Notamacropus eugenii: one gene and its partners. The main gene of each other region encodes a partner of the protein of the gene in region 2 in a complex. Links are inferred from orthologs where the notes say so. Each region holds a gene or a part of one and is shown on either strand. Other genes may lie near its edges.

Region 1 (7,320 bases), on a different chromosome or scaffold from region 2:
GGATGATGCTGTCCTCCATGGCTATAGGGGAAGAAGCGGGGAGGAGGACTCGGGGGATGCCTATGAGGCATGACATCCAACTGGAATGAAGCACGGCTAACTGGCGATGGGGACAGAGAGGTCAGAGCTGGAGAAGTGTTCACACTGAGAATGGAAGTCACAGGGGCGGAGCTGGAGGCGATGCCCCTTCCACCTCTGAGTCTCTGCCATGCCAGACATGCCATGCCCCTGGCACACCTCCCAGGAGGCCCTGGGCTCCCTATTCCCTCGCACCCCTTCAGATCCAACATGGTGCTAAAGCCCAACCATTTCACCTTGGTGGCACCCTGCTCCACACCTGGATGGATGGCCTGCCTCAGTCTCCTCTCCAGGACATCATTCAGCCAGCGCAGGTCTGAGCATATCACCCCCACCCTCCTCCTCTATAACCTTCAGGATCAAGCACAAAATGCTGCCTGGCCTTCAAAGCCTTTATAATTAGACGTCTCCTGCCTTTCTTGGTACCTTACACTTTCTCTGCTCCAGGTCACAACATTCCATTTCCCACCTCCGTGCCTTTGAATTCAATGGCTGCCTCATGCCTACAACACCCTCTCTTCTCCCATCTCTGGGAGTTGAATCCCACCTTGTCCAAGAAGCCTAGGTTGGTTCTGGTTCCCCCATCATCCAGAGCTGCTTACCTGTTGTCTCATCCCTCAGACTGGGAGCTCCCCAGGGGAGGGGCAGGGTCTGCCCTTTTCTCCCCAGCACTGATTTTGCCTGGAGTGCGGCACAGAAATGCTTACTGAGTGCCTGCCTGCCCACCAGCTCTCCCTTCCACTTCTATCCCCAAGACAGCTGGCTCTGAGCTCGGCTGTCCAGCCTCCACACCTGCCAGCACGGGCCATCCAGCCCCGTCCCTGCAACCTCAGGGCAGCCTTCCCATGAGGCTTCTCTCCAGCCTCTATGACCTCCTTCTCTGGGAAGCCTTCCCTGCATCCTCCCACTGGGAGGCCTCAGACGCCGGGTGGGTGACCCTGGGCAATGGCCAGGCTCCTCAACCATAGACTGGGATCCTAACAGAGCCTGCCCCAGGCCTGTCTGGACCTCAAAGGAGACAATTAACACCTGCCACAAAATGAATGTCATTAGTTGTTACTGTCATTACTACCAGCGGGGAAACCGCCAAGGCTGCCAGCCTGGCACCTGGCCTGACTCCTATGTCTGTGCTGCCCAGCCCCTCTGGTTCCTGCAGCCTAGGCCGGGCTGCTGACCACACGTGACCTGGGGTGGGTAGGGTCTCTCCCCTCCATGTCCAGCAGCCAGCCTCGGTGCCCACCTGCCCCCCATGTCTGTGCTGCCCGGCCCCTGCACCCTAAGCCGGGCTGCTGACCACACGTGACCTGGGGTGGGTAGGGGCCCTCCCCTCCGTGCCCAGCGGGCTGCCTCCACCTGCCCCCCATGTCTGCGCTGCCCGACCCCTCTGTGCCCAGCGGCCAGCCTCGGTGCCTGCCTGACCTCCATGTCTGCGCTGCCTGGCCCCTCCGTGCCCAGCGGCCAGCCTCGGTGCCCGCCTGCCCCCCATGTCTGCACCATCCGGCCCCTCCGTGCCCAGCGGCCAGCCTCGGTGCCCGCCTGCCCCCCATGTCTGCACCATCCGGCCCCTCCGTGCCCAGCGGCCAGCCTCGGTGCCCGCCTGCCCCCCATGTCTGCACCATCCGGCCCCTCCGTGCCCAGCAGCCAGGCTCGGTGCCCGCCTGACCTCCATGTCTGCGCTGCCCGGCCCCTCCGTGCCCAGCGGCCAGCCTCGGTGCCCGCCTGACCCCCATGTCTGCGCTGCCCCGCTCCTCCGTGCCCAGCGGCCAGCCTCGGTGCCCGCCTGCCCCGTATGTCTGCGCTGCCTGGCCCCTCCATGCCCAGCGGCCAGCCTCGGTGCCCGCCTGCCCCGCATGTCTGCGCTGCCTGGCCCCTCCATGCCCAGCGGCCAGCCTCAGTGCCCGCCTGCCCCCCATATCTGCGCTGCCCCGCCCCTCCGTGCCCAGCCGCCGCGCTCGGCGCCACGCCGTACCTGGCAGTTCATGTTGTCCTCCGCCTCGATCAGCTTGCCCCGGTACACCTCCCCGGTGTTGGTCTCGCAGGTGACGATGTGCCCCTCCGCCTCATGCAGGACCTTGATGGGCACACCGATCGACATTCTGGCGACAGCGAGAACCTGCGGGGCCCAGCGGGACACGTGAGGCACTGGAGCCCAGCCCCCCAGGACCCAACCGGGCAGCGACAGCCCGGAAACCCTGCGCCAGGCCCGGGTCCGAGTGAAGGAGAAGACAATGGGGGTCCTCCTCCTACCCTGGGGAGGAACAAGCATTTAGGCGGCACCTACTGAATGTCCGGCGCTGCACCGAGTAAGCGCCTCGCAGATGGGGGGCGCTGTTATTAGAGCTCGGCACGCAGCTGGGAGGTGTACTTGGGGGGAGGGGCTCCGGGTGCAGGAAGGCCTGGGGGGGGCACTGAGGCAGGCTGCCGCCCCGCCGCTGGTGTCCAGGTGGGGGGGACAAATTCCGAATCAGGGCTGGGGGAAACAGGGAGTGGGGATGGGGCTCCGCCCCCAGCCTGGAGACCCCCCCCTGCGCCCTCCTTCCCGGGGCCCAGGGCATCCCTGGAGGAGGCTGAGGGAGGCCCTGCCAGAGAAAGGCGCGGGGGCGGGAGGCATGGCCTTGAACGCCGAGCCAGAGCCCCTCGCCCACGCGCTACTCTCCCCCCGTTCCCGCCCCCCCCCCCGGTTCCCATTCCCCCCGCCCCGGGTCGCGCGGACCCCTCGGCCCAGGCCTCACCTGCAGCCCCCGCCCCGGCTCCGGTTCCGGCGGCGCGAACGTGCGACAAACAGCGGCAACTGAATGGCGGGTCTCGCGGTCCCAGCATGCACCGGGCCCGGAAGCGGGGTGGGCACTTCCGGGGATCGCTCCGCCCCTAGACAGCCCGGTGGGAGCGGGAGAAGAGACTCTAGAGGCTTACAGGGGCGGGGCCTGAGGGCGGGGCCCATGGCGCGTGCTCGAGAAAGGGGCGGGAAATGGAGGATGGGGGCGTGGCCTGGGTTCGGCCTCTGCGCCTTGCGTGCCGCGTCGGTGGCGCGCTGTGCGTGCGCTAGCGCATGCGCCGTGAGAGATTTCGCGTCCTCCCGGGAGCGGCCGTGGCGGCGGTGGGGCCGGAGAGGGGTTGAGGAACCGAGGCGGGGGCCGAGATCCCGGGCAGAAGCGGATCGGGCCGGGGCCATGGCCAAGGCGCCTCCACAGCCCGAGCCCCGGCCCGTCCGCCCGCAGGCGGCATGAGGGAAGAGGCCGAGGGAGCCGGGGCCGAGCCCGGTGAGGGCAGCCGGGGAGTCTGAGGCACGGGCAGGGGGAAAGGGAAGGGTTATGGAGTCAGCCCGTTCTGACAGCTGGGGAGGCTGAGGCACGGCCCAGGGAGTCCGCTTACGGGGTCCTAGATCGGTCTCCCAGCGGGGGATACTGAGGCACGGCCCAGGGGTCCATGTACGGGGTCCTAGCCCGCCCTGACCAAGACTGAGGGGCACGGAATTAGCATCTCCTGGATGCCCAGCCTGGGACTCTGCGGGAGATCCGGAGGCCAAAGGCCCGGGTCCCCTAGGGCGGAGGAGCCCCAGGACTGGCCAGGGCGGGGACGGAATTTGAACTTCGGCCGGGGCGAAGGCTCCCAGGGCGGAGCCAGCACATTGGGAGGGGCGGGGCGGGGTCACTGCTGGACCATGGGGGGAGGGCCCCAACCCCGCCCTCCTCCGATGCTAGTCCTCTGTCCCAGGCGACTTCGTGCAACTGAAGGTGCCCATCGTGCAGCAGCTGTACCACTGGGACTGCGGGCTGGCCTGCTCCAGGATGGTGCTCAGGTGAGGCGGGGCCCGGGCTGGTGACCCCTCCTCTGACCTCCGGGATTGGCCGCTGGCCCACCCGGCACGTCCCTGTCCCCGCCCCTTCCGCGCTTGGGGTTTGGGAGGTGCACCACTCGGGCCCGCCCCAGTCCCTCCCTCAACTCGGTGATTGGTCGGTGTTCCCTTCGGCCCCTCCCCTGTCCTTTCAGAGCTCGGTAATTGACCCCCTGCGGGTCCCTGTCTTCTGTCTCTTTCCCCGCTCCCGTAGTTCGGGGATTAGTCGGCCCCACTCGGCCCCGCCCCAGTACTGTGATTGGCCGGTGACCCACCCGCGCCTCCATCTCTTTCCTCCCCCCTCAGGCCCCGCCTTCCCCCGCTCCCTGAGCTCGGTGATTGGCCGATGGTCCACCGTGCCCCGCCCTCAGCTCAGTGATTGGCCGATGCCTCCCCTCTGCTCCTTCCCCAGCCTTCCCTCAGAGCTCGGTAATTGCCTGGCGTCTTCTCCCTTCCCCCGCTCGGGGATTGGCTGCTACCCTGCCCGGGCCCGCCCCAGTCCCTCCCTCAGCTCGATGATTGGCCAGTGGCCCACCCGCGCACTCCCCCGCCCCAGGTACCTGAAGCTCCTGGAGGACGACGCTGCCTTCGAGCAGGCGCTGCAGGAGCTGCAGCTCACCCGGAGCATCTGGACCATCGACCTGGCCTACCTGATGCGCCACTTCGGGGCGCGCCACCGGTTCTGCACGCGGACGCTGGGCGTGGACAAGGGCTACCGGAACCAGGTGTGGGGGAGCCCCGCTGTCCCGGCTGGGAAGGGGGCCTGTGCAGGGGGGAGAGGGGGATCCCAGGCTGGCGCTGTTACCCTCCCTGCCCGGGCCGTGCCTAGGTCAGTGGCCACCGCGGCCTAAACGCCGTCTTCTCCGCTCAGTCCTTCTACAGGAGACACTTCGACGCCGAGGAGAGCCGGGTCAACCAGCTGTTCGCCCGGGCCTCGTCCTGCAAGGTGTTGGTGGAGAAGTGGTGAGACCCCTCCCCTGCCCCCGGGCACCCCTGAGTCTGATCCCTGCCAGGGCCCAGAGAGAGGGTGGCGGCTGGGCTTCAGGTCCTGCTGCGTGCGCTCCTTGACAGTGTCCATGCTCTCCCTGCTCTAACTCCCGTGGTTGGAAAGTGTTTATCCAAGAGTAGCCTTGATGCTGATTTTACACATGGGGAAACTGAGGCTTAGCGAGGCCACGCAGGTAGTAAGGGACAGGCTCAGCTCACAGCCTCAGCCCACCCTCCTGGGCACCTCAGCACACATGTGGCAAAGCTGGCACTGCCGACAGCCCCCATCTCCCACGGACAGCTCTGGTGCCATTCCGCCCTATCTTCCCAGCTCAGCCTTGAGAGCTCTGCCCTGAGCCCTCCGTGGATCCGCAGCTCAAGGCCCTTCTCACCCCAGCTTGCCCAGACCTGACCCCGAGGCCCCAGCTGAGTCCCACCCCGAGTACCTGATGCCCCCAGGGCACTGCTGCTCCCAGGAACCTCACTGGTATCATAGTAGTTGTTCTTGGATCTCTTCTCTGCCCCAGTCTTCCCCAGACCTATTACCTTCCTCGTTTCTCATAGCTCAGTACTGCTCCATCATAGCTACAGCCCAGATTGACCAGACATTTCCTGGTTGATGGGCCTTGCCTCAGTTTCCAATTCTCTGCTCCCACAGGAAGAGCTATTATTGATATTTCTCCTCTTGCTTTGGTCTCCTTGGGGTAGATATCTAGGAGTGATACCAGTGTTTCCTGCCTCTAGATTCTTCCAACCCCTCCCACATGGCTCATCTTTGGTCAGCTTTGCCCATCTGATGGGGCTGAGACAGATCCTTGGCGCTGGCTGGTTGGCATTTCTCCAATAAGCAGAGATTCAGAGTCTTTCTTCACATGGCTCTTAATGACTTAGATTCTTCTATTGAAAAGTGACCATTTATCGATTGGAGAAGGGTTCTCAATGCTCCCTATGTCATCTTAGAAATGACACTTTATCAGAGAAACTCACTGGGAAGGTTTCCCTTCATCTTGCTGCTTGTCTTTTGGGCCCTTTGGGTCACTGAGCCTTGTCTGCCCACCGGGCAACCTCTGTGGCAGAGCTAGCCCTTCCAGGACCCTCCCTCCCTCCCTTGTTCTCTGTCACTGCCATTGTCATGACCATGACTTTTGTCCTCATTCCGCCAGACCCTGTTAAGGCCATCCTTGGAGCTCAAATCCCTTCCTGGCTGTCAGGAGCCTCTGAGGTCACGGGGGAGCTTATCAAACCTAAGACCCCGCCACCCATGCTGCTATTATTTCATCTTGTCTGCCCCCTCCCCACCTTCTGTCCTCCACTGGGCATCTGTGTCTTGGTCCAGACCATCGATGTCAGATCCCTGGGGCACTCCACTGGAGACCTCTTTCCACATTTTCATCAAAGGTCCATGACTGACCAACCTATCAGCCAGTTCTGAATTCATTTCATTGTATTCTTTAGTCCATGTGGGTCCACTAATGGCACCATTGAGAACAGAACCTGGGCCTGGAGCCAGGAAGAATCCACTTCCTGAGTCTGGCCTCAGACACTTACTAGCTGAGCGACCCTGGACAGGTCACTTCATCCTGTTTACCTCGGTTTCCTCATCTGTTGAATGAGCTAAAGAAGGAAATGGCAAATGTTCCAGCATCTCAGCCAAGAAAACCCCAAGTGGGATCAAGGAGAGTCAGAAGTGACTGAGTGACCAAAAAGTTCACATCTCTACCTTTTGCCCAAAACTAGCATGAGATTCTTTATCAAAAACTTCACCCAGCCCTAGGCAAGTTGTGTGCACTGGCAGCGGTTCCTAGCCCTTCACAAAAGGCTGGCAGGTTAGGTGCCCCTTTGGGGAGCTTGGCCAAAATCAGCTTTTCATCTTTGCCTTCCTGTTGGCGGCATTTCCTTTGCCTCCCTCCTTTCCTCCTCCCTCGGAGTCAAACCCTGAAGAGAAGAATGGGGAGCAGGGGTGAGCCTGTCCCTGGATGCCATGGCCTTTCTCTGGGGGAGGTGACTGATGGACCCAGCAGCCTTTGCCCATCTGTCTCTTCCTTCCTCATCCATTGCCCAGAGGCCATTTGATTTTCCTCAACAGTTCTGATCATACACCTTCTTTGTCAAATGCCACCCTCCTGAAATCCACTCTCTGAGCTCCTGCCTGACTCCAGGGCCCTCCAGATTTCTTTCTTAGAGGCCTTCCTTCTGCTCTTATCCTCTTCCTTCACCCATGAGAACTAGAAGTGGTCTCCTGCCCTCTCCCAAGGCTGGCATCCCAGCTGCTTCTAGAGAGCCATCTTCTCTAGTTTCACTTAGCCGTTCTATCCCTCAGTGCATTGTACAGTGGGAAGACCACTCCTCGAAGGGAGGCCAGAGGCAGGCAGAACTCTCCCTGTCTGAGTACACCGGCACATTCCCTTCCGTCTGTCCAT
Region 2 (6,916 bases):
GGTGATTTTCCTTCAGCACAAATCTGACCATGTAACTCACCTACTCAACCATCTCCAGTAGTTACCCACTGCCTCTAGCTTCAAACATAAAGACTTCTGTTTAGCTTTTAAAGCCTTTCACAAAGTGGCCTAAACCTATCTTTTTAACCTCACTAGGCTTTACTCCCTCTTCTGAATTCTGAGAGCCTGTCAAACTCATCTTTTCTCTGTTCCTCACACAAGAGACATTGCATGTCTCTACCTTGGTACCTGCTGTTCCCCTCCCTAGAATGCACCCCTTCCTGACCTCACAAAATTTTTCTCTTTCTTCAAGATGTAGCTCAAGTCCCACTTTCTACATGAAGCCTTTCCTGAGCTCCTAATCACTGTCTTCCCTCCCAGGCTACTTTTTATTTAACTATTTCCTATTTATTAGTTTTATATTTATTCTGTATATACTCATATATATACTTAAGTAGAGTTTATTTTTTAAAATTTAAGTCCCCAGTGAATGAGTAAGTAAATTTTAAGTAGTATTTATTAAGGGCTTTACTATGTGCGAAGTACTACATAAAGTCCTGGGGATACAAATAGAAAAGGTAGTCCTTGCTCTTAAAGAACTCATTTTGATAAGAGAAACAAAACATAAAAAGTTTCAGCTTCAAGTCAAATAGAAAGGTTCCACGGTCTTTTGGGTACAGGAGCAAAGCACCTAACTAATGCTTCCTCTTTAATGTTATTTCTACCAATAAAATTATAACAGTTTCAGCTGTTAAGTCATTTGACAAGAACTTTGGTGGCAATAACTTTCTTTTATGGGTCTTCAGTAGCTAGAGGTACAGCACCTGCAGAACAGTGCCTGTCCTACAATAGGCAATAAAAGCTTATCAACTGATTCTGTGTAATGAAGGAGGGTAGACATCTCTAATACATCTTTTAGTACCAGCATTCATTCGTAAAACAACATTTATGAAAGTATCCATATGTGACCTTAAGTTTAGAAGGATCTCTAAAATCCTAAAGGGATTTCCAGTCAAGTAGTTCTATGCTCAAGCTTCAAGCATTTCAACAGAACATAGGTGAAAACCAGATGTCGGATGGACTTCAATACTTTCATTTTCAAGGAAGAGGAGAGAATTCTCCATATACTCACTTGGCTCTTCTCTCCTCCTGCATCTGGGGTTTGGTCCTTTGTGCCTTATCACCCATTCGAGTGCCCTCCAGTTTCCCCACCAGTGAAAGGACCTCCCCTGTCGGCTCATCACGCCGTGTTCGGTCAATCAGAGAACGGTCAGCTTGGAGGACAAGGTTGGAGTTCTGGAATAATCACAATATGAACAGAGCTACAACGACAGCAGGACTGAATGCAGGCAACTCAATTCCTGCAAATGTTTCCCCTTACTTAGATGATAATTCTTGACAATAGGGCCTGGTTTCACGCGTACACATGAGTACTGCAATGCTTCCCTTTCGAGGGGAGGATAGGGAGGAAGTGAATTTGTTACTCAAAAATAGTTTTTAAAATGAATGTTAAAATAAGTAAAACATCTCTTAAAGAGAGAATGAAGTGCGTAGTTGTGCGCTTAGGAGCGGGCACTTCCTAACAATACACGTAGATGCGGCCCAAACTCTTGTAATAAGAGGATGCCCCACTCCCGGGGATGCCTCCTGAAAACAGCACCCACAGCAAGTACACAACTCGGAGTCTATGAACCAGGGGTGCCTGACGGCGGGAGACAACGTATTCCCAGCCCGGTCTCTCGGGCGCATTCTTCAGGATTCCCGGGGGGCTCTAGTGGTCTCCGCGCTCGGACTCTGTTTCAGCGGCTGCCCTTCACGACTCCTTGGAATGTGGTCGCCTCTAAACCCCTCTGTCCACTTTCTACTCCTCCCTCCTCCCGCCCCCTCCCCCGGCCCCGCGCCGAGTCGGGCCCGACACTCACGGCCTTGTACTCATACTGCAGGCTCCGGGCAGTCACATCCGCCATGGCTGCGCCTGCTCAAGTGCCCCGGGGTCGAATCTATCTCCTCAAAGCCCTTCTTTCCTTCTATCTACTCTTCCAGTACTACGCACACACCACAGAAACGTTAGATAGAAGCAACGATGGAAGGAAGGAAGGAAAGAGCTGAAAACGCCTCACTTCCGGTTCCAGGTTACTCGACCTCCTCAATTGAGGGGAGGGAAAGGAAATGCGCATGTGCACAAATCCCCAAGTCTCAGAAAGCCGGCTTCCTTTTATTCAACGCGAGAGTCGCGCGTCCGGCGTGACGTTACTGTCGGTAGTTACGTCCTGCGCGGTCGCCTCGTTTGCGCCGGGACCGACAGCGTGCTAGTACGCATGTGCAACAGCAATCGCGGACAGGTCCGAGTAGTTTGAACTATGTGAAGTGTTGCTCTCTCTTCTTCCTCCTTAGAGGCAAATATAAAAGTATCAATAAAACGGGTCGTTCCTTATACAAGACCGATATCGTCAATTTTGCCATGACTGGGACAACATAATGGTTAGATAGGGAATCAGGAAGACTTCAGTTCGAATTCTTAATATTCTTAAAATTCGGGTTCTTAATGTTCTCAAAATTAAAATTAGATTTCTTAAAACAATGACTGCGGGACCCAGGGCAAGTGACCGCTTCTCTGCGACAGTCTTCTCTCTAAAGTGGATAGCTGTGTAACTATTGGCTGTTATTCTCGTAAGCTATGTGTGCCCCCCGTTAGCCCACAAAGGCCTGAGTGCCCGCGGCGTGTCACGTGTCAGGGAGGTGATGACGCTGGAGCGATTTTGCTGGGAGACGCCCTTTTTGTATCTGTGCCTGCCTCCACTGTCCTCTATCTGCGTTCGTCCTTCGTTTTCAGAGGACCATGACGGGAGAAATGATGACGTGACTTGCGCTGGACTTTGATTTGAGGGCGGGAGGGCTGTGCAGCTCACCAGCCTCGCTTCCCCCCTGGGCCGTCTGGATCCAGGATGACTGGCCACGGCCCAGGATGCACTGGGAGGCCTGGGGCCCTTTAGGCCTAGGTCTCTGCAGGTGCTCACTTAGGGGGAGGGAAGGCCCGAGGAGTGAGTAGGCCTCTTTAGGAAGTAAGCAGGGATGTCCCCTTTAATGAGCAAAAGAAAAAAATAAGTGAATCCAGCTGGGAGGGAAAGAGCTACAGTTACTGTGGATGATCACCCAGGAGCCTTCACGTGGAGTTTGGGCCGTGGAAGGAAGGGAGGAAGCAAGCTAGCTTTCTGACCTGTACTACACCTCATGGAGATGCTATGGCTCTCTCCCGGGGGATCCTGGACATTGCTCCCTCAGTTATTTATTAAGTGTTCAGGCACCACACCAAGCCCCTGAAGTACAAATATAAACAGACAGAAAGCTCCTTCCTCAAGGAGTTTATAGTCTAATGGAGAAAGACAAGGGGGAAGGGAAAGAGGAGTGAAGTGTTGCTTTTGTAGAGAAAGTCCTGTGCAAATGAACAGGAACACATCCTGGAGAGGAATAAAGATTGATGGGCCTGGGCCTCCTCTTTAAAATGGAAGATCTGGGAGGAAACAGCCAAATAGGGAGGTAGACTTGCAAGGGTAGGAGGGTATTCCAATGGGAAAAATATTCCAGAGGTGGTGTGAGCTTCCAAAAGACTTTCAGTAGATCAATGCAGAGCATAGGAGAGACCTTGGTGAGTCACACTGGAAGCTCCAGGGCTGATATGTTTCATAGCCTATAGAATGCCAACAAGGAATAAACCTAGACTTGGGGTTGTAGGATTTAAATCTGGATTAAGTAGCCTCTAAGAGCCCTTTCAGCTCTCAGTCTATGATCACATCACCTTAAAAAACATGTGTCACTATTGAGGAAAATTAATATCATTCTGTATCATATTAATCTGAAATCCATCCCATTTCCTATTTGGTCAGACCCCAGTTGTTTCAGTTTAAGCTCACCAAGCAGTTCCTAAAGGGCTATGATCAAGTAATATGATCATTCCCGGCCCCTAAGTTATCTACTCATTAGCCAGCTTAGACTGGACCTCTTCTAAGTGGGACAGATTTCTTATCCTTGCTTTTTTCTTTCATCAAAGGGGAAAACAAATAGGGAGAGCCTGATTAAAATGGCTTTTGTTTTCTAGTCAATCCAGGTGTATGGGTTGTTCAGGAGGGAGTAGCACTACTGATTTAAGGACTTACTGAGCCCTTTTCAGGGCTGTTTATCCATCTTGAGTGTCCACCTTCACCTGTCTGTGTCTTCAAGAAGCTGTAGTATGCACAGTAGCCACATATTAGTAAAATTGTTTCCGCACATGGCCTAAACTAGGTTGACAGGTCTCAAATCCATTGGTGCATTAGAGGGATGTCTAACATGTGAAGACTTCTCCCACGGAAACAGGCAAGTGAAAATAACTTGTTCCAATGGCCATGAAGACAGCTGAAGTAGGCATTGTGGAGTGCTTAGAGCTTAGGCATCAAAGACTCCAAGGCCATCCACTCCATCCCAGGCACTCCCAGTCTTCTTGACTTATGTCTTACCACTGGACTTCTATGACTCTGGAAGAGAGTGTGGTTAATGACTTTATGCAACTCTGCCTTTGTTGCTATCAGTCCTCTTTGAAAAACTGAAAGACAAACAAGGCTATGAAACTCTGGAATATGGTTGTTGAGAAAATGAGATCTCATGTATTACTAACATCCTTTTACAAAGTTTGTGAGATGATTTGTGATTATGAAATTATACCTGGAGTGGTATATATTGAAATTACATCTTGAATTGACCTAGTTTTAACAGTCTGTAGTCTTAGAGTCTTTATTAAGAGGTCAGTCTACAATATTTATTCTCAGTAACATGAGAGTGATTATAACTGAATGCAGCCCGAAGCAATGATTAATGAAATTTTCTATTAAAGTTGAATCTTATGGGACTGTAATTGGTAGTCTGAATCTGATTCCAGGTATAATAATCAGAAAATGTCATTGAGCCAATGATTCATAATTTCAGCTACCCTATGGGAGTGACATCTGGGACTTACCACTGGTGGAGTTCTATCTCAGGGAAAAGTCAGGAGAGTGACTTTTGATGTGAGTTAAGGTAGGACTCTCCTGAATGTATGACATTTCCTCTTGAATTGAAAAATTTCCCACCAGGCTAATTCTGAGCCTGGCTGTGACATTCTATTAATGCAGTTGGCGGCCTATATGACTCTAGCCTGGAATTTACATCAAGCTAGGGGAGAATTTTCCCCTTTACTATGGCTATGTCCCTCTTTTTCCTTTTATGACAAATTTCTATAATCATGGTAGGTGATTAATAGAAGATATAAAAACAATATTAAATCTTTATCTAAGAGACTAATAATGGAACACCTCTAAGTTATTGTAAGAAAATGCGAACTTGGAATGCTCTACCACAGGTTGGGCACAGATAGTCCATGTGAATATTTAGGGTGGATGCTCCAATTTGCTCATTCTATGTTTATTTTGTGCTGTCTCAATTCTGCTTTGTTCATGGAGCACAGCACCCTTTATGATGTAGGCACACCATGCTGAGTGGTCCTGTGCTAGTGTCTCCCATGTTGCACAGTCAAATTCAAAGTTCTTGAGAGAGACTTGAGAGTGTCCTTGTATCACTTCTGAACACCATGCGATCACCTGCCCCATGTGAGTTCTCCATAAAATAGTCTTTTTGGCAAGCATACATTTTGCATTTGAACAATGTGGCCAGCCCATTGGAATTGCGCTCTCTGAAGCATAGTTTGAATGCTTGACAATTCAGCTCAAGCAAGGACTTCAGTGTCTGGTACCTTATCCTGTCAGGTGATCCTCAGAATCTTCCTAAGACAGTTCAAATGGAAGTGATTCAGTTTCCTGGCATGGCACTGGTAGACTCTCCATGTTTCATAGGCATACAACAATGAGGTCAGCACAGCGGCTCTGTAGACCTTCAGTTTGGTAGTCAAATACCTCTTCTCTCCCAGACTTTTCTTTGGAGCCTCCCAAATACTGAGCTAGCTCTGGCAATGAGTACATCAACCTCATTGTCAATGTGAATATCCCTGTAAAGTACACTACAGGAACAGTGCCTTTGGTGTGATGGCTGCCGAGCCCTTTCCAGGGCTCTTTCCACCTTTGGTGTCAACCTGTTCCACTCAACTCTCACCTGTGGCTCTAAGTTGCAGCATGCAGTGGCCACACCCTGGTAAACCATTTTGGCAGACAAGCCAAACCAGGTTGAGGGTAACCAAGGGTTCTCAAACCCATTGGTGAGTTAGGGGGGTGTCTACCCCAAGCATGTGAAGACTTCCTTTGGTGGAATGTGTGGATGAGAGCAATTTGTTCCAATGGCCATGAAGACAGATGAAACAGGTAATGTGGAGCGCTTAGGGTGAGAGAAGTAGAAGCAGCATTTTATACAGAGGATCTGGACCTGGACCAAGAAAGGGATGAGAGATAGAAGGTAGTATCTTGAGAAAATAGTAGTGTTCCATGAAGGTTTTTAGGATGGAGGGAGACTTGGGCATGTTTGAGTTCATTAAGTTAAGAGCCAGTAACTAGGAGGAAGTTAAAGATTTGAGAGAGAATATATCTCACCACAAGGTGGAGCTTGTGAGTGAAGATAGGTATCCTCCTACCCAGGAGCTAACAGTCAGGTAGAGTTGACACAAATACAACTCCACCTGAGGATATGAGTTGGATATCCTCACCTTTCTTCCCTGGAACTAGAAATTTTGGCTTTAACTGGGGGTGGGGAAGGGGATATTGAGATGTAAGAAGGGAACTAGCCACTCAAAGCCTCTCAGACTAAAAACAGCTATTCTTTTCCAATCCATGGACTTTCTGAGTTTTTTATTTCTGGTACCTTTATTAGTCTGTGGAACTCCAATATGGTGTGCACTCTGTCTCTCTCTCTGTCTCTCTATCTCTCTTTCTCTGTGTCTCTCCCTCCCTCCCTCTCCCTC
Region 3 (8,006 bases), on a different chromosome or scaffold from region 2:
CACTACTTGCCAGCAATGAGTGGGTTCCTGAGAACCACGATGACTGAATCCCCCCTCAGGAACATCTTGGAAATGTAACGATCTTTGTTCACTGGTTTGGACTTTTTCTTGCCTTTGCCGCTTTTGGGCACCTCTGTCCACATCTCCTTCACATTCTCCAAGACCATGTTGCAGTGCCTAGGACCAGGAGGGGCAGGGGATGAGCACAAGAACCAGCTGAGCCTACCCTGACGCCCTCCCTTCTGCCATGCCCCCTGCCCCCAGTCAGGACCCTCCACAATGGCCACCAGGGAGAGCCAGCCCCCACCTGTCAAAGGCCTTCACTCGGCCCAGAAGCTTTTTGTTGTTGCGACAGTTGATGAGGACCTGGGTGTTGTTTTTCACTGACTGAGTGAGCACTGACAGGGGCCCGGTGTTGAACTCCTCCTCTTCGCGCTTCTGCAGCTCCTCAGGGGTCATCTCACTCTTGGGCTTGTTTAGGAGACTCCTGGGGGCAATGCACAGACACAGACACATTGGCACTCCCCCAAAGCCCTGGGCACGAGCTCAGGCCCACTGATAACTCCCTACCTAGGACTTGGGCTTCTCCAGATAACCGAACTCTTTGTCCTTGGAGCCTCATCTCACCCTCACCGAAGCCCTTAAGGCTCCCATTTTACCAAGGTCCCTGAACTGCCTTAACCATACCCTCTACCCCAATCTGCTCTGTACATGACCTGTATGGCAAAGTTCACTATGTGGCCTGGCCAGGGACAGAGAGCCTCCATAACCTTCTGCCCTGCAAAGCAAAACTCCCCTTTCATCTGCTGGTGGTGGTGGGGCAGCTCCTCTGCCACCTGGATCACTTTCTACCTGGCAAGCTATTCTCCATTCATGCTCTACTCATGCAGACCTCCCCAGCTAGGGCCCCACTTGGGTCCACTCAAAACTGTGGCTGGTTCAGTGGGTGTTACCCACAGGGAAGGCTCCCCATCCCATCCCATCCCATCCCATCCCATTTCAGACTCAAAGAAACCTAAGGCTGGAAGATACTGAGAGAAAGGGACCTTAGTCCAAATACTAACCAAGCATGAATACCTTTTACAACAGCATTGGAGAAGGGACCATCTAGCTTTTGTTCAAATAATTCCAGTGACAGGGAACTCGTTACCTCATGCAAATAGAAGAACCTTCCCCTAAAAAGTACCATTCTAGACCACCAGATCTCCAGAGAACAAACCTTAGGGAATCTAGATCTCCCTCTCAGCTTTGGAACTCCCATGAGAGGGGCTGTGTTATCCCAGATGCTTTGTGTAAAATCACATAGCTCACTATGTCTGCGTTGGCCATGTTACCATCTGCTCTTCTGCCCCACGTCTCACCCCCAAATAATAATTAAATCCATTTTCATACTATTACTCCCCAGGCCTTGTCAGTTCACTTCCCCAAGGCTCCATTCACCATCCCAGGAACTCCCCATACTCCTATGCACACTGCCTACCTCTATTAGAACATAAGCTCATTGAGGGCAGGAATTGTCTTGTTTTATAATCTTTAAGCTTGTTCTACTAAGTAAGCACTTAGTAAAGCAAATGATCATGGGAAAAAAAGTAGCTTAGGAGACCACACAGCTGTGGCAAACAGAGTAAGGGTCTAAGGCCAAGGGCCCTGATGCCAAACAGAGTGCCTCACTCTGTTTTAAACTGCCTTTGGAGAAGGCCAGTATTTTTACAGGAAGATGGCTGTAGGGTACCATAGGTGGAAAGCACAAGGACTATGTCTGTTTAGGAAAATAGACAGACCAGTCTGGCTGGACTATATACACAAGGTATGCGGAAAAATATTTCTCCCAAGACTCCTTCAGGTTAGCTGTCAGTGACTCTGGAAACAGGAAGGAATTTTCTCAGGCTGCTCAGAAGAAACTGGATGAAGGGATGTTTAAGCTAGAGAAGAAAAGGCTTTGTTAGGAAAAGGATGACTGTCCTAGGTCAGTGAAAGACTAAGACTCACTGTACTTGACTCCAGAGGAAGCAGATGTTGGGCTGACAGAGGTGAAAGCTTACTGGTTTCTGAGGGTCAACAATGGGAGAGGTTCAATAGCCGCCTGGCAGACACTGGCTGGAGGGGTTCCACCATCCCTGCTCCAGCTCCTTTTACAGGTGAGGAAACTGAGGCAAACAGGGTGAAGTGACTTGCCTAGTGCCTGGGGCCCAATTTTGACTCAAATCTTCCTGACTTTAGGCCCTGCTCTCTACCTGCCCTGCTGCCTAGCTGTTGGCATTAAATCAATGTTCCCTAAATTCACAGCAGGGCAGGACGTGAATCCAGGATCCAGGGCACACGCAGGGAGACACACAGATGCCCGCAGCCCACCCCCTTCCTCCCATTGGCCCCTCGAGCGGCTCGACTGGTCCGTCCCTTTCCCCCATTGGCCGCCAGCGCCCCTCTCCGGCTCGGCCCCTCTTCCCATTGGCCGCGCTGACGCCTTCCCAGCCCGCCCCTTGGCCCCATTGGCCGCGCGCGCCGCCTTCGGCTCCACGTGCTCGGCGCGCGCCTCGCTCCCACCAGTTGTATCCCACTACGTGCCGCTCGCGCGCTGCCTGCTCACCGGCCGCACGCGCCCCGCGCGTTCTAATCGCCAACGTCGCCCAGGCGATTCCCCCCAAGTAGGGGCGTTAGCTCGCCCGCCCTCAGCCCCGACTCCGCCCCCTCGTGGCCCCGGCCGCGCCCCCTTCCCGGATGGCATCCCCGTGTTCGGTCGAGGGGCGGATTGCCGCTCACATGGTAGCGGTGGCCCTTCGCTCCTTTGTAGTCCTGCCTTCCTCGCGCTGCGGCTGCCTCTGCGCTCTGGCTCCGCTGTCTCTGCCGCCCCGAATACCTTCCGGTTCCGGTGTAAAGGAGCGCAGCGAGGCGAAGCGAGAGGAGAGAGGCACTTCCGGTTCCGGGCTGAGAGACGGTTGTGTAACGGAAGATGCTAAGGAAGGAGCGCTCGGCGCATGCGCGATGAGTCCGGAAAGACTCGCGAGGGAAAGGTTGGCGCAGGCGCGTTGTCATAGCGACCCGGGATCCCGTCTCTAGTTCAGGGGGCGGAGTCCTCGGTGCCCACGTCCCAGGGAGGGCTCCCGAGGACGCGTTTCAGCTCCAGCTTAGGGGTTAGGGGAAGAGCAAGCCTTCTGCTCCCGCCCTCCCCGTGGTGGCCGTGAGGTAGCGCCCGACCCGGGTTCTAATTCCGCCCCTGCCACCTTCCGCCTCCCGCGTGACCGCGGGCCCTCCCCGGGCCTCAGTTTACCCTTGTGAAGCCGCAGCTAGTAAGCGCCTGAGGCTGGCCTGGAACTCGGATCTTGACTCCGGGCCCAGGGCTCTGTACGTGGTGGTGCCCCCTCATCGCTTTGCCTTGGGCTGGGGATAGGCAGTGGACCGGCCGTCTTTGGGCACCTCTGAGAAGCCACCATCCAGCCTCTCTGAGGCCTCCCCGCCTCCCAAGGCCCGGCCGTGTTTGGTCATGCACGGCCCTCCTCAGGGGGTACAGTGGGCAGAGAGCCTGGGTTCCAGCCTGCCTCGGACCCGCTTCTCCAGGCCTCCTTTTCAGCATGTTAGAGGAGGAGAGCTAATCTGTGATTCAGGGCCATCCTGCCCCGACACTTCGGCCCAAGCAGACAGTCCATCACACACAAGTTCCACGCTTCATCAGCTGCCAGGCAAGAATCTGTTCAGTTGGCGGAGCAGGGGTGACAGCCTTGGCCATGGTGTTGGCAAGACCTGAGTTCAAATGTGACCTCAGACACTGAGTAGCTGTGTGACTCTGGAGAAGTCTCTTCCTGCCTCCATTTCCTCATCTGCAAAATGGGGGTGATAATGCCTCCCAGGGGGAAGTGTAGAGTGCTGTACACAGTGCCTGGTGCACAGTAGTGGCCGTCTAAATGTTAACTCATATTCCCTGCATGTAGAGTCAGCGCCAAGTTATTTCCCAGGACTGGGGGAGAGTTCTAACAAGTAGGCCCAGCCCTTGAGCTGAGTCTGGAGGGAAGCTAGAGGCCAGTGTGACTGGAATTGTTTAGTTTGATCAGCATCTATTGAGCACCTACCATGTACATTACTGCCGCCCCTGGCTCGGAGGAGCTCATGTGCTGCTGGGAAGGTTACAGCATGTGAAAGGAGGAATGCAATGTGATTTGGACACAGACCCCAGAGGGCTGGGAAGGGCCTCAGGTTGGAGGGGAGACCTAGAGGCTGAGCTGGGCCGGCTCTGTCCAGAGCTTGAGATCTTAGGACATGGAGGCAAGGCCTGCCAGTCTTGGAAAGTGGAATGGGACGTCAGAGGGATGCTCAGACTGGGAAGGGTTCTAACAGCCAAGCTGAGGCCTTCCTATTTGACTCTGGAAGAGCTAGGGGGCCATTGAAGCTGCTTCAGCAGAGGAGAAGACTCCTGGGGCAGCTGGGGGTGGGGGTGGGGGTGGGGGTGGGAGCAGGAGAGGCAGCCAGAAGCCTCTTGAGAGCTGGGGAGGGCCTGAGCGGGCCATCCTAGGAGGGGAGGAAGGACACAGATGGGACACTGTGCAGGTAGAACCCACAAGCCTTGGCATCTGGGCTGGGAAAATAGTGTGGGCAATTGCTTGGCCATCGACAGAAGTAGACATTAAGAACATGTATGGGGGGATTTGGGAAGGGAAATGAGATCCATGGGGGGCCTGTTGACCACACACATTGAATGGATGCACCCAGGGCCTGGCTGGCAAGGAGCTCTGGAGGGGGCCAAGGGCTGGGCTGGCACAGGGGGGTTATCTCTAGGCTGAGGTGGAGGAGGTTAGCAAGAGAGTCTAGAAGAGGCACTCTTAACAAGGGGACGGTGAACTTGTGTTTTTAAAGAACATTTAGAAGACGTCTTCAGTATAATTGATTTCCTTCATAATCTTATGTATTTTTAGTTTATGCATTTAAAACACGAGTCTGAGGAGTCCACAGGTTTCACCAGATTGTCAAAGGCACATCCCTGGTCTAGAGAGGAGCAAGGGCAGGGGCAGGGGCCTTGTCAGTGGTGCCGATGATTCAGCAGAGGGGATTGTGGGGGGCTCAGATGGAGAACCAGGATAAGGTGGTCTTGTGAAGACCCGCGAAAGAGAGGTCACTGGAATCCTGGAGAAATTGGTGTCCCCTGGGAAGTGGGATTGAAGTTAGCTTTGCAAAAGGGTTGAGAGTGTGCCACCAGGAGGTACTGCAGTGGGGGCAAAGACAGCGAAGGCAGCTTTCCTGTTGAGATGTGAGGTGTGGGACAATGTCCTGACATAATGCATGAAGGTCATGAAGGTCACAGGGAAGGAGGTGAGAGAGACTGAAAAGGGGGCAGGGCAGTTTGGGGGCTTGGAAATGTAGAGAATGGGGGGGCTGTGGAGGGGATTAGGGAGAAGAGGGAGTTCATCGTGATGGGTGACAATGGGGGAGGTGGAAAGCTTGGGGGGTGATGGGGGAGGGCCCGGGAGACTTGTGAATTGGAGGTGGCTTTAGGCAGCCCCTGTGAGAAGAAGCAGAGAAGGCAGGTGGTGGGCAAACCCAGGGTTGGGCTCGGGAAGCTCCCCAAATATGGAGACCACCTTTGGCCTTTCTGTGTCCCTGGTGCTTAGCACGGTGCCTGGTATACAACACATCAGACACAAGATCAAAAGGTACAGGACAGTATAGAGGCGAATCAGTTTACTTTAGATCTGGTCAAGATTGTGAAGAGAGGAAAAGGAAGAAAGGGAAGCCAAGAAGGGGGGAGTGATGATTGGGGAAGGTGGTGGAACTGATGTTCATGCTGAGGAATAGGTTTAGGAGGAGGAAGGCAGTGGGAAGGATGCGGGCAGCCATGAGGGGGAGACGTTTCAGAGTCCTGAATCACAGAGGTTACAGATCTACAACTAGAAAGACCCATCGAGACCATCAGCCTTATTGTCTCATGTTACACTAGAAGCCAGGATGTAGAAAGCTGTGAGTGATGAAGGGGGAAGACATGCCCCTCCCCAGGGCTGGGTGGGCTAGGATGCCAGGAGCATGTTAGAGGGGACATTGCCAGGTCTAGAGGAGGGACCCAGAAGCATGGGAGGCAGATGTTCAAGAGCCCTGGAGAAAGTAAAGGAGATGACTGCCTGCCTCAGCATGGGACAGGATGCATCCTCTTTTCCTAGCTGTACCATTCAGGAGAGTTACCCTGTCTGCTGGGCTCAGACTGCCAGTGTTAAAAGAATGAGAAAAATAATGAGATAGCTTTAATAATAAAAACATGTTATCCTGCGCAAGTGCCGAAGGCCCCCACCATGTCATGTTGCACCTGCTAGGGAGAGGCAGTGTAGGCTCAGATGCTGCCTTGGACACTTCCACGCCAACCCAACAAGCATTTATTAAGGCCCTCTGTGCTGACAGTACAAAGACAAAAATGGAAACTGAGTCCTGCCCTCAGAGCTCACACTGTGTGTGACAACATGCTAAAATAGACATATCATTCAGGACCTTTAAGGAGGAGGAGGAAGGGAGCACTGAAAGCCTGGGTTCAAATCCCACAGCAGACACTTTCTGGACCTCAGCTTCCTCATCTGCAAAATGGGAAGCACAGTAGTACCTGTCTCCCAGGGTTCTTTTGTAGGACCCAATGAGACAGTGAATCCGAAAAAGTCTGCAAGCCTTAAAGTGCTGCAGAATGTTGAGTTTTGGAGAGGAATTAACCCCAGATGAGCTAAGCTTGGAAGGAAGTCGAGAGCCTCCCAGGCAAAGAGGCACAGAGATTGAAAACTGAAGTCCACAGTCAGAGAATGGCAAAAGGCCAGTGTGACTGGAAAAGAAAAATATATGAACAGGGAAAAAGGGGAAATGAGCCTGGAAAGGCAAGCTAGAGATGGGGGTAATAGGGAGCCAGGGAAGTTTCTTAAACAAGGGAGTGATGATGGTTTTGGCAGCTGGGCGTAGGATGGACCAGAGAGGGGAGAAAGAGAAATCAGGGAAACCAAGGAGGAGACTGTTGTAGCACCGTGATCACACGGGGTCTAAACTAGAGTGGTGGTCTTTGAAGGTCAGCTGGGTGATCATGGGCAGGTCCTTGAACCATTCTGACCCTCAGTTTCTTTCTCTGTGAGATGGAGACAATATTATCTGTTGGACCTCTTACAAGATGGTCCTGAGGCTCATGGATGAGCACATTTCAGGTGTTGGATAGAGACTGCCCTCCTCTCTAAGGAGCCTGTCACAAAGGGGACACTATGTCCACAGCTGATGCCTTCCTGACCTGGAGGGGACTCTGGGCTTCTCCCCAGGGAAGAGCAGGCTCAGCCATGCCTTTGTAGCCTGTGAGCATCTCACCTCCTGGGATAAGCTCAGCTCAGGGGTCCAAGGCTGTTGGGCTACACGGATGCCCAGTTGACTGTGCACCAAGGGGCAGCAGGAGCCCTGCCCTCTGTAGCCAAAGACCACTGGGAGGTCAGTGTAGTAGGGAATTGGCTGATTCCTCCTTAGGTACCTGAGAGAAACTGTGCCTATTATAGATGCTTCTGTGAGCTAGGATGGTGGGAATTGTTCAGTCAAAACTCTCTGGGTGTCAGTTTCCTCACATATAAACGGGGGTGAGTAAACAGCTGGGCTGTAAAGAGGACCAAATGAGCTGTCTGTGCATCAAAAAGATCTCTTAAGTACTTAGCAAGTGCCAGTTCTAAGCTAGGTGCACACAGTAGGTGCTTAATACAGGAGAGTTACATATCACTCTACATTTGTACATATCACCTGCTGTGATCCCCAGTCAGGGCAGGGGATGAAATGGAGGGTTTTCATGTGAGGACATTATCATCAGCACTTTACAGATGAGGACACTGAGGCCCAGAGAAGTCCAACGACTTTCCCAGGGTCACACCAAGAGTAAGTGTTTGAGTCAGGATTTGAATTCAGGGCTTCCTGACTCTGAAGTCCAGCATCATGACCAGTGAGCCGCCAGCTCTCCAGTGAATGGACTCCTTCCCCTCCCTGGAGGTCCAGCTCATGGGCCCACCAGCTGCTATTCCATTGCTTCA
Region 4 (7,512 bases), on a different chromosome or scaffold from region 2:
TTAATGGGTCTGCCCATTAAGGGGAGTTTGATTAGGGAAGATCTGTGGGAAGGCCCATGCCTTTTGTTAATGAGGCACTGGTTCTCAAAGGGTGTGATACCCTCTGGCTCTAAAAAAGGTATAAATACTCTGAGTTGAGGTTTTACTTTGGGACTGACTGACTGGAAGTGTTTGTTTGGCCAGACAATGACTCTGGGAAGCCACTAAAGAGCCCACTGGCTTTGAAAACCCAGATGTCAGTGCTTCCCTCTCTGGTAACCATGGTCAGACAGCTGGACTTGTCTGTTGAATTATGGTCAGGCAGAGGAAGCCATGTCTATTGATCTTTGATTTCTCTGTATTTTCTTTTAAGTTCAGGGTGCTGACTCCCCTGAACTAGGTGAATAATATATATCCTTGGTTAAAGGAATGATACATGTGATTAAAGTGATTGTTAACCCCTCAAAAGTCACCTTTCTTTTTATAAATGCAGACCTAAGAACCTGTGATAGCAGGCCCCCTGTGTATGTTGGGGTGCTTACTGTTACAAATATGTAGATGGAAATTGTTATAAAGCCTTAAAAAAATCTAAAGTAGGTTTTGATCTGGTTCTCCAGGAGTATGTCACTGGGGAAGTAGTGAAGAGAAAAGGGGAGGCAGGAACAAGACAGGGTTCAGAGATAATGAAGTTTTAAGTCTACATGATTGAGAGGATGGTGTACAAAGATGAGTACTGATTCGTGGTGGTTGAACTCAAAGGGCAGATCTAACAACTGTGAATGGAAGTTACAAAGAGGCTGATTCTGACTTCATGTAAGGAAAAAGCTCTTTGAAATCAAAGCTGTCCAGGGTGGAATGGGCTGTCTCTGGAAGTGGTAGATTCACTGGCTTTGGAAATTCTTAATGCCAAAGCTGAATACCCACATTTTCAGGTACAACTTGGATAAGATTACCTTGAAACTGCCTGTCATTCCGAGTTTCGGTGATTTTTCTATTGTGTCAATTCAGCAAACATTTATTGTAGTACCTATTTGCAAAGCCCTGTGATAGGTTCTAGACATTCTATGGGTCTCTGCCTTCAACTTGCATATCAGGGACCCTGCCTATACATCTTTTCATACTAGCACCCACTATTTACATATACTAGTAAATCGAGAAATCTTTGTCCATTAAAAAATATATATATCATAAATAGACACTATTAATGGACAATGACCTTAGCTCAGAATTGAAGTGGAAGAATAGTGGAGTGAGCTAGATTTTTTTAGGGAAATGGCAAAGTTTCTTCCTGAGGGTGTGAAAAATGATTAACAACCAACATCTAGGGGAGATTCAGAGGCTCTCCCTTTTTTCTAAATTTCTCATTTTAAAAAATTCAGTTTTCTTGAAGGACATTACTGATAATGAGATTGCAATGACTCTCCTAGATCTTAATCAGACCCCACCCAATCTTGCAAGGAATTTAATCTAGGTTGGGGAAGTCCACCGTGTACTCCTCAGGCTTGGGGAAGGGGGTACAGATCCTTTTGTCTAGATAGCCCAAGGCTGCAGGTGGTCTGAGTAGAAATAGTCTTCTCTGTCCAAGGGTGATGTGATGATGGATGACATGAGCCCCTCATTGGAAGGGTAGATAAACTATGAGCCCCACTGCCATGGCTGTCTTTGGTCTAAGAGAGGCAGCCAAATGACCATCCTTTTATTAGTAACCTGCTGTTCTTAGTAATAACATGATTAAATTTCCCAGGAACTATGTCTCTTGAACATTTTTCAACATCACAAAAAGAAAAAAGGATCATATTTTATAGCATGAATATTCTTCTGGTAATGACATATGGCTGTGACACTACAGTCTTCAAAGAACTAAATTTAAGGATTAATCAAAGGGCAATGAAAAGGCACACAGCAGGGCAGGTATAGTGCTTGAGGAAGAGCACTAGATTTGAAGTCAGAGGACATGGGTATGTCACTGTACTCTCTGGACCTCAGTTTCCCCATCTAAAAAGTCAGGGGGTTGGACTCAGTAGTCTCTAAGATTCTTTTTCAGTTTTAAAATTACAATCATTACGAACATGTAATTATGTAGGGATAGTCTCCAAATCTGTGTAGGGAATTCCAGGCGAGGAAATTCCCTCTACCAAAGCAGTTGTTTCCTAATTAACAGACTTAAGATGGTTAGTTGCCTAACTCTTCCATGGTCATACGGCTAGAATATGCCAGAGGCAGGCCTTGAGCTGTCTTTTTGACTTTAATGATAATGATAGCTAACATTTATATAGCACTTACTATGTGCCAAGCCCTCTGCCAAGGGCTTTAAAATCATCATCTCATTTGATCTTCTTAACAACCCTGAGATGTAAGTGCTATTATCATCTCCATTTTGCAGGTAAAGAAACTGATGCAAAAAGAGGTGAAATGACTTTCCCAGGATCACACAAGTAGTCAGTGCTGGAAGCCAGACCTGAAGTCTGGTCTTCCTGACTCCAGGCCTAATTCAGTAACTCTTACAGATCCTTGACTCCACCATTGTTCCCCCTCCCCTCCATTTTCTCTGGCCTACCATCTCTGGTGCTGGAGCAGGAAGGGATCCCCCAGGATACCTGCCAGTGCTCAGGATGTCAGGGACGAAAGCCTACTTTCACATCTCCTCAGGATTTTTCTGACTGAATCCTACCAATCCTACCCTTTCAAAGATCCAATATGGAGATACGGCTCAAGTCCATAATAAGCTGACTCACTCAAATAATTCCTTAATCATTCCCTTAATAAAATGTGTCTAGGTCAACAAGTTATTCAAATGAAGATATCCTTCCTAATCAATGCTCCCAAGCTGTCAAGTCCCTAAGAGGAGTCTCCACATTCTAAAAAAGGAAATTCAATACCTATCAAGGACCCAAAATCAAAGTAAGGATAAACATGGTTAGAACCCATCTAGTTGAGCAGGTGCCCTTATTGGCCCTTTGCTGCATTCCTTTTCTCATTTACTTCACATTTTCTAGATTTCTGAGTTTTCATTCTCAACTTTTCCTTGTGTAACACTGAATAAGAATTAAGAAATTTCAAAGTTGGTGTACCACAGTAATGATAATATAGTTGGAATAAAAACGGTGTTAGAAGTGCTGAATTCTCATCTTTGCTAATTTCCTTATCTGTAGAGAAAGATGTCTAAGATTTTATCTTAGTTCACATTCTTTAACAAATGATTTCTAAATGTAGCAATATAAGAAATAAGAAATCTCATAAAACCAAGTGTAAAAAACACTGGGAATCTCTGGGTTCCTGATCACTTCTCCCTTCCAAAATGAGCACTGCTCAAGACATTGCTTAAACCACTAGCTTCTAGTCTTTTTGAAGTTGAAATATCCATGGATCCGTGACAAAAGCTACAGTTATCTGTCACTTTATGCCTGTGTAGGTACTCCTTCAACAGAAGCAGGTTCTACCAAAGGAACCTTCAAATTTTTGCTTAGAATGTCAATCCTAAGGAATTCTCTTTAGGCACATAGAGGTTGCATGATGTGCCCAGGCTTAAAAGCCAATGTGCCAGGGGCAGGACTTGCACCCAACTCTTTTTCATTCTTGTCTTTGAACTCTTCCACTACTCCAGGTTATCTCTAACCTTATTATCTGATTTGGGCTGGCAGGGGTGGGGAACATGTGGCCTCCAGGTCACATTTGACCCTCTAGGTCTTCAAGTGCAGCCCTTTGACTGAATCCAAACTTCCCAGAACAAATCCCCTTAATAAAAGGATTTGTTCCATAAAATTTGGACTCAGTCAAGGACCTAGAAGGCCACATGCTGCCTTGAGGCTGCAGGTTCCCCACCCCTGGATGGGAAACCCTGTGTCTGGTTGGGGAAATCTCTCCCCTAGTGCAAATCAACATCTCCTCTGCTGCTTTAAGCGTTGCTGGAGCATTGAGAGGGTTCGACAATGTGCCCCTTAAGTCACTATGTGTCAGAGTCAGGGTTTTTTGGCCTCACCGCCTGCTCCTCTGGTCCACTCCAGTGGTGTCAAACTGAAAAAAACGGGCAATACTAATCCACACGCAAAAACCCCTGCCACTATATATTGACTTAGCTTTAAAATGTAATTTTAACCGTTTTATTATATTTTTATTTTGTTCGCTCCTTCCCAATTACATAGTAATCTGGTTCTGGGAGTGTGGCAGACCCACAAGCAACCTGTGTCTGACACCTCTGTACTACACGGCCTCTTCTCTGATTTTTAAAAATTACTTATTATTAGATCAGTGCTCCGCGCTAAACGCGGGGATCTGTTTATGAATTCAGTTCTATTTACAGGGTAATGTATTTACAAGAGCGACACGAGGGACTCAAGAAACCTACGGCCCTGGGTATCTTCTCCCCCGGACTTGGGCAGCTCTCTCCCCTGCCCTTCAGGCATCCTCATCACAGCCCATTCCAAAGCCTCTCATCCGGCCGGGCTCTGGCCCTGGTCCGCGGACTTAAGGCAGATGGGGAGGCCAGGGGCAGGGGGCTTCTAGTTTCCCAGTCGTTGCCCGGATACCAAAGGGGCACCTAAGGGGTCAAGCAGTGACACACGACTCGCCCACCTCCTTTTCCGTCTCCCCAGAGACACCTTCGACGGCTCTCTCCTCGGGTTCAGGGAAGCTCTTTTGTTTGTCAAAAAAGTATCGGTCCGGCTGCATAGGGAGAAAACGGGCGGCCCAGGCCTGGGGAGCCGCGTCCCCCTCAGGCAGGCCAAGGGACTCATAGTCGACCCCTGGCGGCCACACGAGGGCGGCGCCGTCCACAAGTCATGGCTTCCTTCCGTCTGGCTCCGCGCAGGGCAAGGACAAAGAGAGCTGGGGCGAGGTGGAAGGGAAGAAGCCTTTGGAGAGAAGAGTGTGAGGAAGAAAGAGCCTAGCAAAGAACTGGATGAATGACTGTTGGCCAGCCGACCTACAGTTAACCGGAAAGGGCGGGCTCTGGCTTGCCTCTCCCGGGCGTCCTAGCGACTTCCGCTTCTATTCCCGCCCCGTCGGCGGCCTTTCTCCCCGACGATTGGCTGTTGGCTTTGGTCATATGACGCCTTCCGTTAAGCGCGTCTCCGCCACCTTGTTTTTCTTTTCCGGTAAAAGAGAGTCGAGTTGTTTTCAAACTCTATGCTCTTTGGGGGTCCCGGCGCGGAGAGTTGTGGGAAGGTGGAGGAGTAATGGTGCTGGCATAATATCGGAGGGCCGTGGGACCTGAAGTAAGTGATTCCAGAGACCTCTCTCTCTTTAGCTCACGGGGAAAAAAAGAGTTTTTTGGGGAGCAGTGGGGCTGGGAGATGTGGAGAGGCAGGAGAGCTGAAGGGAGAAGCCAAGCCGCACGGGTTCTAGGGCCCCGGGGTCGGGTGTGAAGGGAAGGCCCGGGCTCGGGATGCTGCTGGCGCTTTCGCCTTTGCTGTCCGTCCCCGGGTCTCCTCGGATTTCCGGTGGTACTTCCCCGAGTCTCCCTTTTGCATTAGTTACCGGGGGCCCTGCCGCCCTCACCCCCCATTACTGCGTAAGCCTCTTGAGGGCCGACTCTGGGGTATCTTCTTTTGTATTGTTGACGTCTGGAACATGGAGACCTTGGCTGGAAAGTTAGAATTTACAAAAGAAAACATAACCAATTCGTGCCACATCGTTATGAGCTGCATGCTCATTTGGGGCAATAAACTTTAAAAATAGAAAAAAACCCAAAAAGACCCTAGGTGCCCCACGGCCTTCTGGGCCACCGCAGGCCGTCCTGAGCCGTATCTGGCCCCTCGACCCAGAAGGTGAGGCCGGAGACCTTGCGCAGCCCTGCCTGCCTCCCTGAGTCTGATGGAGATGAGAAAGCCAGTACTACTTGCCAAGGCTTGTGGCCCTAAGAATGATCGCTTCCTCACCTTCCCAGGACTTGTAATTTGCTATGGTAGGTCATTGTTTGGGGGGCGAGGGTGTTCTCACAGTCTACGTGCCGTGGTGATGTTTATGGTCTTTCAATAAAGGTACAGATAGAAAAAGTTACAGAAAAGGGGATGGTGGTGATGCGTTCAGTTAAATGAATTTTGAAAGCTCTTTTGCATAGGATTTTAACTGTTTTTAAAACTAATAATTTTCTTAAGTATGGACATGTGACTGAATATAATTGTATATCCATGAAGCCTCGAAGATGACCACAGCGGCAAGGCCTACATTTGAACCTGCAAGAGGTGGAAGAGGGAAAGGGGAAGGGGATTTGAGTCAGCTTTCAAAGCAGTATTCAAGCAGAGATCTACCTTCTCATACGAAAATTAAATACAGGTAATAATGACTAAATGTTTCTTGTAGAGAGTTTTTCTTAAAAGGCAGAAGAAATTTTGTATGGGGTTCTGTAACGACCTCTTCTGGATAATAGGGTGTTGCTATATATGTCAGTTACCAGAGAATTAGCAATAAAATATGAACATTGACATAAATTTCATTCTTTAATGTATAATGAAAATTTTTTTTTAGTGTTGGGTACACAGGCACATAAACACAACTATGTCTGTGTCAACGCACAGACATGATGATCATAAAACTCTTCTGTGCCATGAGATTGTGTTTTTTATGGTCCTCATATCTAATTGAGATTAAGTTTTTCTTTCCTGCTAAACATGGCCTGACTTGACACTGTACGTAAATTCAAGCATATTTAATTAGTGTCCTTGCATTTAGTCCATCCTACCAGTAGTAGCAAGAACTTTTTTGATTTTGAACTTTATTTTCATCATTATACTCCTGATTACTTACTGATCAAAAATCAGACTCCAGGTATCCCAAGTACCTCACACATGCATTTAGACCTTGAAGTATTGTAATGGGTTTTTAAGCACCCATATGAATCTCTTACCTATAATGTCTTTGTGCTAATACCCTGGCTTGTAATTTGAGTTTCAGGCATTCAAATATATTCACTCCCCATCTCATATTACTTGCTTTACCCTTTTCTATACTCTACAATAAAAAAATAATCATTACTGTCTAAACTCCATAAATGAGATGAATAAGATAATAGTCATTTAAATACAATGAGTGTATGCCAAGAAAAGCTAGATTCAGATTGAATCCAGAGGTCAAGTATAAAGGTGACACCTACTAATGCTTTAGTTTTCTCAAAGCAAGATGTGTTGAGCATAAAAGATAATCAAGGAGACAGATGTGACCATGTTGAGACTTGCTGGAATCATGAAATTAAAGTAGAATCAGAATAATACATTAAGAGCAATTAATACCTACTCAGTGCCAGTCTTAATATACACTTCTGGAACTTCGAAATGGTCGTAACAGGTTTGAAAAGTATCCTAACACATCCTCTACAATGTTAATGAAACATAGGATCCATCACTGTAAGGTAGCTATAGAAAGAGATTCATGCTGCCTCTCCAAGAAGGACAGAGATTGATAAACATTCTTAAAGCACATAATAATCAAGTCTAAAAGCTACAGAAATATTTTTAGACCAAGCAGACATTACTTCACTGGGCACTATAGTCAATGCCATTAGTTTTGTTCAGTAAAACTGAAAATGGATAACCTCTA

The links.
Region 1: SNRNP200 (region 2) and SNRPD3 share a complex: the UniProt entries of both Homo sapiens proteins name them as parts of the U4/U6-U5 tri-snRNP complex. The link is inferred for Notamacropus eugenii from reciprocal best matches to the Homo sapiens genes SNRNP200 and SNRPD3.
Region 3: SNRNP200 (region 2) and SNRPD2 share a complex: the UniProt entries of both Homo sapiens proteins name them as parts of the U4/U6-U5 tri-snRNP complex. The link is inferred for Notamacropus eugenii from reciprocal best matches to the Homo sapiens genes SNRNP200 and SNRPD2.
Region 4: SNRNP200 (region 2) and CWC15 share a complex: the UniProt entries of both Homo sapiens proteins name them as parts of the minor spliceosome. The link is inferred for Notamacropus eugenii from reciprocal best matches to the Homo sapiens genes SNRNP200 and CWC15.

What each region holds. Positions count from the first base shown.
Region 1 is NC_092875.1:1,748,497-1,755,816, reverse strand, and holds the start of SNRPD3 (small nuclear ribonucleoprotein Sm D3), read right to left. Parts: upstream 3,018-7,320; 5' UTR 2,811-3,017; intron 2,192-2,810; 5' UTR 2,174-2,191; coding exon 2,048-2,173; intron 1-2,047. Other genes in the region: protein GUCD1, read left to right, coding at 3,302-3,338, 3,793-3,877, 4,470-4,638, 4,785-4,876. UniProt on the Homo sapiens protein: Plays a role in pre-mRNA splicing as a core component of the spliceosomal U1, U2, U4 and U5 small nuclear ribonucleoproteins (snRNPs), the building blocks of the spliceosome.
Region 2 is NC_092872.1:606,974,479-606,981,394, forward strand, and holds the start of SNRNP200 (U5 small nuclear ribonucleoprotein 200 kDa helicase), read right to left. Parts: upstream 3,006-6,916; 5' UTR 1,968-3,005; coding exon 1,923-1,967; intron 1,297-1,922; coding exon 1,133-1,296; intron 1-1,132. UniProt on the Homo sapiens protein: Catalyzes the ATP-dependent unwinding of U4/U6 RNA duplices, an essential step in the assembly of a catalytically active spliceosome. Plays a role in pre-mRNA splicing as a core component of precatalytic, catalytic and postcatalytic spliceosomal complexes.
Region 3 is NW_027325105.1:194,627-202,632, forward strand, and holds the start of SNRPD2 (small nuclear ribonucleoprotein Sm D2), read right to left. Parts: upstream 3,007-8,006; 5' UTR 2,763-3,006; coding exon 2,761-2,762; intron 488-2,760; coding exon 308-487; intron 178-307; coding exon 3-177; 3' UTR 1-2. Other genes in the region: QPCTL (glutaminyl-peptide cyclotransferase-like protein), read right to left, coding at 4,956-5,131. UniProt on the Homo sapiens protein: Plays a role in pre-mRNA splicing as a core component of the spliceosomal U1, U2, U4 and U5 small nuclear ribonucleoproteins (snRNPs), the building blocks of the spliceosome.
Region 4 is NC_092876.1:163,313,032-163,320,543, forward strand, and holds the start of CWC15 (spliceosome-associated protein CWC15 homolog), read left to right. Parts: upstream 1-4,510; 5' UTR 4,511-5,192; intron 5,193-6,113; 5' UTR 6,114-6,121; coding exon 6,122-6,252; intron 6,253-7,512. UniProt on the Homo sapiens protein: Involved in pre-mRNA splicing as component of the spliceosome. Component of the PRP19-CDC5L complex that forms an integral part of the spliceosome and is required for activating pre-mRNA splicing.